Linked DNA regions of Mus musculus. Each later gene encodes a partner of the first gene's protein in a complex. Links are inferred from orthologs where the notes say so. Each region holds a gene or a part of one and is shown on either strand. Other genes may lie near its edges.

The links. The genes of interacting proteins can lie anywhere in the genome.
Region 2: Cenpa (region 1) and Cenpc1 share a complex: the UniProt entries of both Homo sapiens proteins name them as parts of the CENPA-NAC complex. The link is inferred for Mus musculus from reciprocal best matches to the Homo sapiens genes CENPA and CENPC.

The regions. Positions count from the first base shown.
Region 1 is NC_000071.6:30,665,348-30,669,714, reverse strand, and holds the start of Cenpa (histone H3-like centromeric protein A), read right to left. Parts: upstream 2,830-4,367; 5' UTR 2,687-2,829; coding exon 2,602-2,686; intron 717-2,601; exon of another isoform or gene 663-716; intron 24-662; exon of another isoform or gene 1-23. UniProt on the Homo sapiens protein: Histone H3-like nucleosomal protein that is specifically found in centromeric nucleosomes. Replaces conventional H3 in the nucleosome core of centromeric chromatin that serves as an assembly site for the inner kinetochore.
Region 2 is NC_000071.6:86,034,578-86,038,226, forward strand, and holds part of Cenpc1 (centromere protein C), read right to left. Parts: intron 3,337-3,649; coding exon 2,735-3,336; intron 1,013-2,734; coding exon 839-1,012; intron 1-838. UniProt on the Homo sapiens protein: Component of the CENPA-NAC (nucleosome-associated) complex, a complex that plays a central role in assembly of kinetochore proteins, mitotic progression and chromosome segregation.

The DNA.
Region 1 (4,367 bases):
TGGGCTACAGTGGACTTGGCCCTCTGACAAAGATAAGCAATTAAAAAAAAATGCTTAACAGACATGGCCACAGGCCAGCCAGTTTGATAGAAGTAATTGCTCAGTTGAAGTTCCTCCTTCCTGGGTTTGTATCAGGCTGTCAACTGAAGCTAGCTATGATGGGCCATAACTAAAAGATAAACTACAAATGGCTGCCTCCTCCCCACCCCACCATTTTCGAGATCTGGGCTTTTGGGGGCTAGAGGGTGATGTTAACAGGTACACACTCACAGAAAATGAAGGCAACACAACTAGAGACCACCAAAGAATGTGACTAACACCAGAAGGAAAAGGAGCCAAAACCAAGAATCAAAATAAACTATACTCAAGGAGTTTGAATAGCGAGAGAACTGAATGCCGTGCCGTGTGCGATCCATCGCTGAGAGGCAGAGGTAGGAACCTCCACTGGGCTACATGGAGAGAACTTATTCTCTCCCAGAAAAGAAAGATTTTGAGAAATAGAAGAGGAAGAGAACTCCAAGACTCATGATACACAAACAGGTGTTTATGAAACGGAAGTGATCAGAGATGACCTGGAAAGAACTGCATTCAAACACCCTGAGGCTGGGTCTCAAAGGTCAACGTTAGCAGGTGGGAGCCCGAGAATTTCAAGCAGGACTTACACACTAAAGCTCTCTCCAGTCAGGCCCACAGGCCCTCACCTACAGTTCCAACACCTGGAATACAGAGACAGGGTGTCCTGAGCTCAGGGTTAGCCTGGGACACATGGATGTCACTGTCACACACCTAAAATGGTTTTATTTTATTCTATGTGTATGTGTATCTGTTTTGCCTATGTGCATGTCTGTGTGTGTGCAGTACCTGCAGAGGCCAGAAGGATCCCCTGGAAATGGAGTTACAGATGGCCGTGAGCTGTTATGTAGCAAGAACAACACAAAGTCCCTTACAGCACAAAAGGGAGATATGTCTAAGGGCCCACATAAAAGAAGGGTTGGTTGACTTGGGAAAGGAGGGGGCACCTAGCAAGGCCTGAGGCTGAATGGAGAGGAAGGAGGGGGGAATAAAAAGCACCAAATGGCTGGAAGAACAAGGTCAGCAGACAAGGGCAGTAGGAGAGCCAAGAAGTGGGCGCAGCTGATGTAAAACTTTTCCCTAAGATAAGAGTAATGGAAGGTTGCTTCTACACTGGAAGTCCACATCGAACATCAGCTCTGGTCGAGCGGTACAACCATGACCACATTATTCCCTTAGGGGCTCACCATACCTCAATGAGAAATAGAATGTGGTGGTGCATGCCTTTAATCCAAGCACCAGAGAAGCAGAAGCAGGCATGTAAATCTAATTCTAAGTCCTTCCTTACCCCCCTTTTTATTAACAAGCTGCTGGCATTAAGCTAGGTAGGTTCTGAGATATTCTTTTTTTTTTTTTTTGAGGCAGGGTTTCTCTGTATAGCTCTGGCTGTCCTGGAACTCACTTTGTAGACCAGGCTGGCCTCGAACTCAGAAATCCGCCTGCCTCTGCCTCCCGAGTGCTGGGATTAAAGGCGTGCGCCACCGCGCCCGGCGGTTCTGAGATATTCTAACCCGGCTAGGCTGCTGTTACCAGGCTATATGACCCATTATTTGCCATCTGATCTTGCCCTGGCTCTCTCTGGTCCATGTGGGTCCTCATGGCTGCTCTCTTATCCAGACCTCATGAGTAATCCTTCTTCACCCACATGGTCTCTCCATCTCTTCTTCTCACCTGGTCTCTTCAGGACCCTCTGATTGGGAACAGAAGTCCCACTCTTCTTTCTTCTGCCCAGCCAATTGGTTGATCAGCTCATTAACCAATCAGAGGTGATGGAAAACAGTTTTTACATCACATTGAGGCAGTGTCTGGATTGTAACCAGATCTCAGAAATAGTTCCTGAATACACACTGCATACAACCATCCCCAACACAGGCAGAGATCTGTGAGCTCTAGGCTAGCCTAGTCTACATAGCACGTTTCAGGTCAGCAAGCCAAGGCTACACACCGATACATACCGAGTTCCCGTCTTAAAAAAAAAAGGGTCGGGGAGAGGGTTGGGGATATAGTTCTGTAGTAGAACCCTTGCCTAACATACACGGAGTCCTGGGTTCCATCTCTAGTGCTGCAAATAAATAATAAAGAGTAGGAGTTAGAAAGCTGGTTCAGCTGTTAATAGCCCAGGCTGCTCTTCCAGGGGGGCCGAGTTCTCTTCCTAGCACTCTAAAAAAAAGGGCAGCTCACAACTGTAACTCCGGCCCCGGGGTTCCGACGCTCTCTTCTGGCCGTCGCCAGAGCACGAACACAAAATAAATGCAAAATACATGCAAAGTAAATAAATGCAAAAAAAGACCCCGTGTCCGTCAGAATGAGTTTGTCTTTGCTCCAACTCCTTGTCTTGTCTGCATTTCGTTTTTCTCCCTGCTGTAAACCGGTCAGGAACAAACAAGCAAACAAACAAACAAATAAACAAAAAAACCATTACCCCTACGCGAGGTTAGCGGCAAGCCGTGACCAGGAACCGTCCCTCTACAGGCCCGGCCCCACAGGATGACCGCACCGGCCTCGGAGGTGCAGGGCAGGCTCGCTTACCTACACTGGAGCTCTGTCGCGAGGGTCCAGGCGCCGGGCTGGAGGGTCTCCTCCTTGGGGTCTGCGGTTTGCGACGCGGGCCCATGGCTGGCCTCGAGGGGCCGGGTCCCGCCGCCTTCCCTAAGCCTTCTTGGTCCTGCTGCCGAAACCGAACGCGAGCAAGCCCAAGGTGCGCGTCAGGACCGCCAGAACTCGGTCGCCAGCAGTTCAAAAAATCACCCGCCCCTCCCACCGCATCTTTTAAATCCCAACTTTGTGACTCTCAGTGGCTGGTTCTGGAAAGCCAGCGTGGAGCGACATCCAGATAAACCAATGAGAATAAAGGTCTGAAGCCAATGGGTACTTGAAGACGGGAAGGAAGGCAGGATTTCCCCACCCTTTTCCTGTTGATCTCTTTTTCAGATGCCCTCTGGGCAGGACGGCTCAGTTCTTACGTGGGTGGTGGGTTTGTAGAGCTCACTTCCTCAAAAGTTTTATGCTTTTCTATCAAACGTTGAGGTGGCTTTAAAAATACGGAAACAGATGCCCAAGAATGTGACAGCTCCACACAGCACCCGTGACACTCCTGAAAGCAACCAGCAAATATGATTCAGAAGCCTGGTTAACTGCATGACCTTTTCAGAAGATAGGGTCGTGGGGACAGCCAGGACGGAGGAATCTGAGGACAAGGTCCAGGCAGGGCAGGCGCCAGCACTATTATTGGACCATGCTATCAAACACAATGACAGAATTGCCTGAGAAAAAAACCGGCTTTTCCTTTTCTCCCGGGAGTAATATGAATTCAGGTCATGGCTCCGTAATTAGAATAAAGAGAATTTCGTCATTTTGCTTTTTTGAGTTTTCTAAATGATCTATCATGAACGTGTACTCTAATCAGGAAAATACTTATATAATCAGTGGTTTCATAGAAGCCTGGTGGAACATTGGGGTGGGTGGTGTAAAATGGCACAGCTGCTATGGAAATGTGTCATGGTTCGAATCTGAAATGTCCTCCAAAAGTTTGGTGTCCTCTGTGCAGCAGTGTTCAGAGGTTGGGCCACAGGTGCTCTGACTTCATCTGTGTATTCCTTTAATCCCAGCACTTGGGAAGTAAAAGCAGGTTTGTTATAAGGACAGGGCCAGTAGACCTACATAGTGAGTTCCAGACTAGTCAGAGCTATGAGCAAGATTTTATCTTATTTATTTTATTTTATTTTTGTCTCAAATAAACAAAAGACCAACAACCAACTCGTTCAATCTCCAGTATTTTACCAACAGACATGAAATTTAAACATAGAATTACTATATGATCCAGAAGTCCATATATATATATATGAAGACATCAGGATCCTCAGCAACTGTTAATTAGTCAGATAATATCCGTGTATGAAGTCTGCTCTAGACAGATAGCCCTTTAGTAAACTAGAAGGAGAAAGCTAGATTGAGGACAGACTCTACGATTCATAAGAAACTGATGATACTACCTATATAACTGTAATGGTGTGTGGGTTAAGGCATAAGAGGAGGGTAGTGCTTATTAACGTACGTAGTTTTGCATATTTTGGCTTTTGAACCAATCGGACTGTTGTACTGCAAGTGGGGGTGGGGCACCGGAAGAACGCAGGGCAAAATCCGAAATGAAGATCCACAGCTTGTATCTTCCTTCACCAGGCCGGAAGGGGAAACAGTGGAAGTCTGGGCCAGATGCTGTGATTTGTGGTTTCTTCTTTGGGTACCTGGCTGTCACTGGTGTACTGCCAGGAGTCAGGAATGGGGGTCCAAGATTT
Region 2 (3,649 bases), about 55 Mb from region 1:
CACCATTACATTTACATAAAAATATACATACCAATTTAATAAGTTAAATTTTTTCCACATCATTTTTTTAAATTCTTTTGTTTTCAATTGCATTTGCAGGACATGTACTAGATTTTTTTAATCCCATTATAAACTTCCTTAAATAATCTTTTCTCTCACTTTGCACATTAATTGCCTGACCATCTATAATGGACCTAATATGCTAGGAGATGGGTCTAGGCATGCCTACGCTAGCTTAGTTGTGTTAATGTTAGCTAAGGCGAGCAGACCCACCCAGGGCAAGCGGGTGGCACCATTCCTTGGCTACCATCTTAGATCCTGGATGATACAGAGTGGAGAAAGTACATGCATTCTTCTTTGGATCCTGACTTGGATACAATCTCAGGGGCTAGCCTCCTCAGACCATGTCTTACCTTCTAGAAGGCCAAAAGAAATCCTTTTTCTCATAAGTTGCACTTATCAGAGTATTTTATCACAGCAAGAGAAAAGACATAATCCTTAAGATCTGTTTCCCATAATTCCAAGTTTCTCAGTTTATCATCTTTCTTTGTAGGTGCTAACATTGTACCAAAATAGTACTCAAGTCTACCTATTCACCCCTCCTGTCTTTCTCGACTTTACCCTTCATCTCCATGAGCACAAGGACTTTTGACTTTGTCCACAGCACATGTCTACATACAGAGCACTGGAGAACTTTATACTTCAGTTGACAATAGTGAATCCATTTAACTTTATCTTCATAAAAGTTTTCTATGTAATGAGAATAATTCACACATAACATCATAGAGAATGACTGTAGGGACCCTTCAATAAAGATAATTTAAATAAATATACTTACTTTCATCTGATTTTACCCTCCACCACTCAGATGGACGCTGAGAAATTCTACAACTTCTCCTGGAAGTCAAAGTTACTTTTTTGGGAACAAATTTGTTCTTGGACCCACCAGAAAAAAATTTCTTTCCAGATTTTTCCTTATTGGTTTGGGTGCTATTGGTTTTTTTCTTATTTTCTAATTTAAAGAAAAACCACAAAAAATATTCAGAATATGTTTTCAGAAGTTCACAAAAGATTTTAGTTAAATAAAACTCAATTACAAAAACATTTTACATTATGCAATGAGCTATTTTATTTCCACCACTGTTTTTTTAAAAGAGAGCATGTTTTCAATAAGATGTGATTTTCTGTCAATTAAATGTAAACATTGCTCACTGCTTGTCATAAACTAAAAGAGGAATGTGTGTACCTGTGCATTCAGGGACATGCGGACAGGTATACACGTGTGCAAACCAGCAGACAACCCTAAATGTCACCTCTTCTCATTTATGTATTCATTTACATTTTATTGAGAGAGCTACTGCCTGTAACTCAGCATTAAGGCTATGCTGGCTGACCATCAAGCCCCAGGGATCGGCCTATCCTTGCCTCTCTAGCACTGGTATTACAAATGCATGAAACCACAACAGCTATAATTGTTTGACTTGGGGCTTGGCGATCAAACTCAGGTCATTCTGCTCGGAAGGCAAGCACTAAGCTGTCTAGCTCCTTAAGCTGACTGCCTTTTGAAAGACAAAACATTGTCTCTTTGTACTTACCACTACTCAAAACCAAGACAGGAAGTTACTGCCTCTCATTTTAATTATTTTGAAACCTTATTTTGGAAGAAGATACTGACTATGACTAAATTATAAACCTTGAAATGATGTTACTCTGGATTAACCTTACTGGCTCAATCCATGTATCCTTAAAACTTGTGATTGCACAGGAATTGAGATGATAGCAGAGAAGCAAAAAATTAGTGACAGAAGAAACTAGCCATTACTAGCTTTGATGATGGAGAAGGAGCAAGTCTAGGATTATGGGTAAGTAGATAGGATGGAAAAAGCAAGGAGCTAACCCTTTCACAAACACACTAGAAGGAACAGAGCTACACAAAGATCCTTCAGTTGTCTCAGTACCATGAAATTTTTGACCTAAAGAACTCCGTAAGATTTTTTTTACAAGTGCTGGAGAGACGGCTCAGCCATTAGGAGCACTGACTGCTCTTCCAGAAGTCCTGAGTTCAATTCCCAGCAACCACATGGTGGCTCACAACCATCTGTAATGGAATCCCATGCCCTCTTCTAGTGTGTCTGAAGACAGCAACAGTGTACTCATATACATAAAATAAGTAAATAAAGCTATGTATTTATTTTAAAAAAAAGATTTTAAAAATATTAAATGTGTTGTTTAATCTACTAAGTTTGTGGCAATTTGTAACAATGAAAAATCACAATCAGTATAGTAAGATATCAGAACAATATATTCATTAACCAGTCGATATTCAAAAGTATTTATGAAGCTATAAAGCTCATATGGCAATATTGGGTAGAGATGTATTTTCTGTTCCTCTACTTTCATCCTATACACATCCATATAGCTATGTCAATCTGCATACCCCATAAAAATGACCAAGTAGCAGGGGAAAACATATCATTAACTTGTTTAGTCTTTCACTTCTCCATGTATGTTTCCGCCTTAGGAATGTTAAATTAAAAAAAAAAAAAAAAAAAAAAAAATCAAGTGACTCTGTCCTGAACTATACCTAGAGAGGTTCCCAAGAATAACCCCAAAGGTGGGTCAACCTTTAGAGAAGCTTTCTGTTGCTCACCTCCCAAAGACAGGAGAAATATTAACAATTATAAAATGATGCAAGAGTATTCACACTCCGAGCCGAGCTGACATGTTCACTTACCAAGAGCTGGCTTCTGTTTCTTGGGATTAGGCTCATTCCTCACCTCTTCACAGTCCTTCATATTTCTTTTCGAGTTGATCTGTAGCTTGTCTTGGCCAGTGTTTGACACATTGCTATTTTCCCAGCTACTCTGTCCCTTCCTGAGCTCTTCAGCTGCTTTAGGCTTAGACACTCTCCTCTGGCTCTGTTTCGTAGTCCTTTCCCATGCGGGTGGGGTTTTGGCAGTCTCAGATTGCATTTTATTTTCAGGAGATCGACAATCATTTTCCAACTCATCTGTACAAGTAGTTGCCGGGTTTTCTTCAACAGAGAGCTGAGCTTCCTCTATTGGGTGAGCCTTATCAGACTGTGTGTTTCTTGCAAACGTCATTGCAGATAAACTATGAGATTTCTCTCTTGACTTCTTACCTTGAAGCAGTGCAGTGTTTTCAGGAGATGGCTTGTGGGCGCTCAGATGCCTGTCTTTGCTTGGTATCATCACCCAAAGTCGACTTGAAAAACTTCTATCTGACCGATCAATAATAAATTCATCTTCTAATAATTTCATGTCACTTGGAGGAGGCGGAGAAAATGGAACTGCTGCTGTGTGCCTGACCACAGAACTAAAACAAAACATTACTGCAACACTTTAGAGAGACGGAAGCTTCATCTTTGTTTACTGAATAAACATTTTATACAGGGAATAACATCTCTATCTGTTTAAAAAAAGCAGTTCACATTACCCCTCAATTTTCTTTAATATTCCCTCCATTTTATAATAATAAGATCATAGGAATTTAAAGCTGGGTATCTACTTTAATGCCCTTCATTAAATATATATACTAAAACCTTGAAATTCATAGCTGTAGAATTATAACCAAAATGTATTTACTTAAAATAGAAAATGCATGTCATAGCTATATATGTTTGATTAAA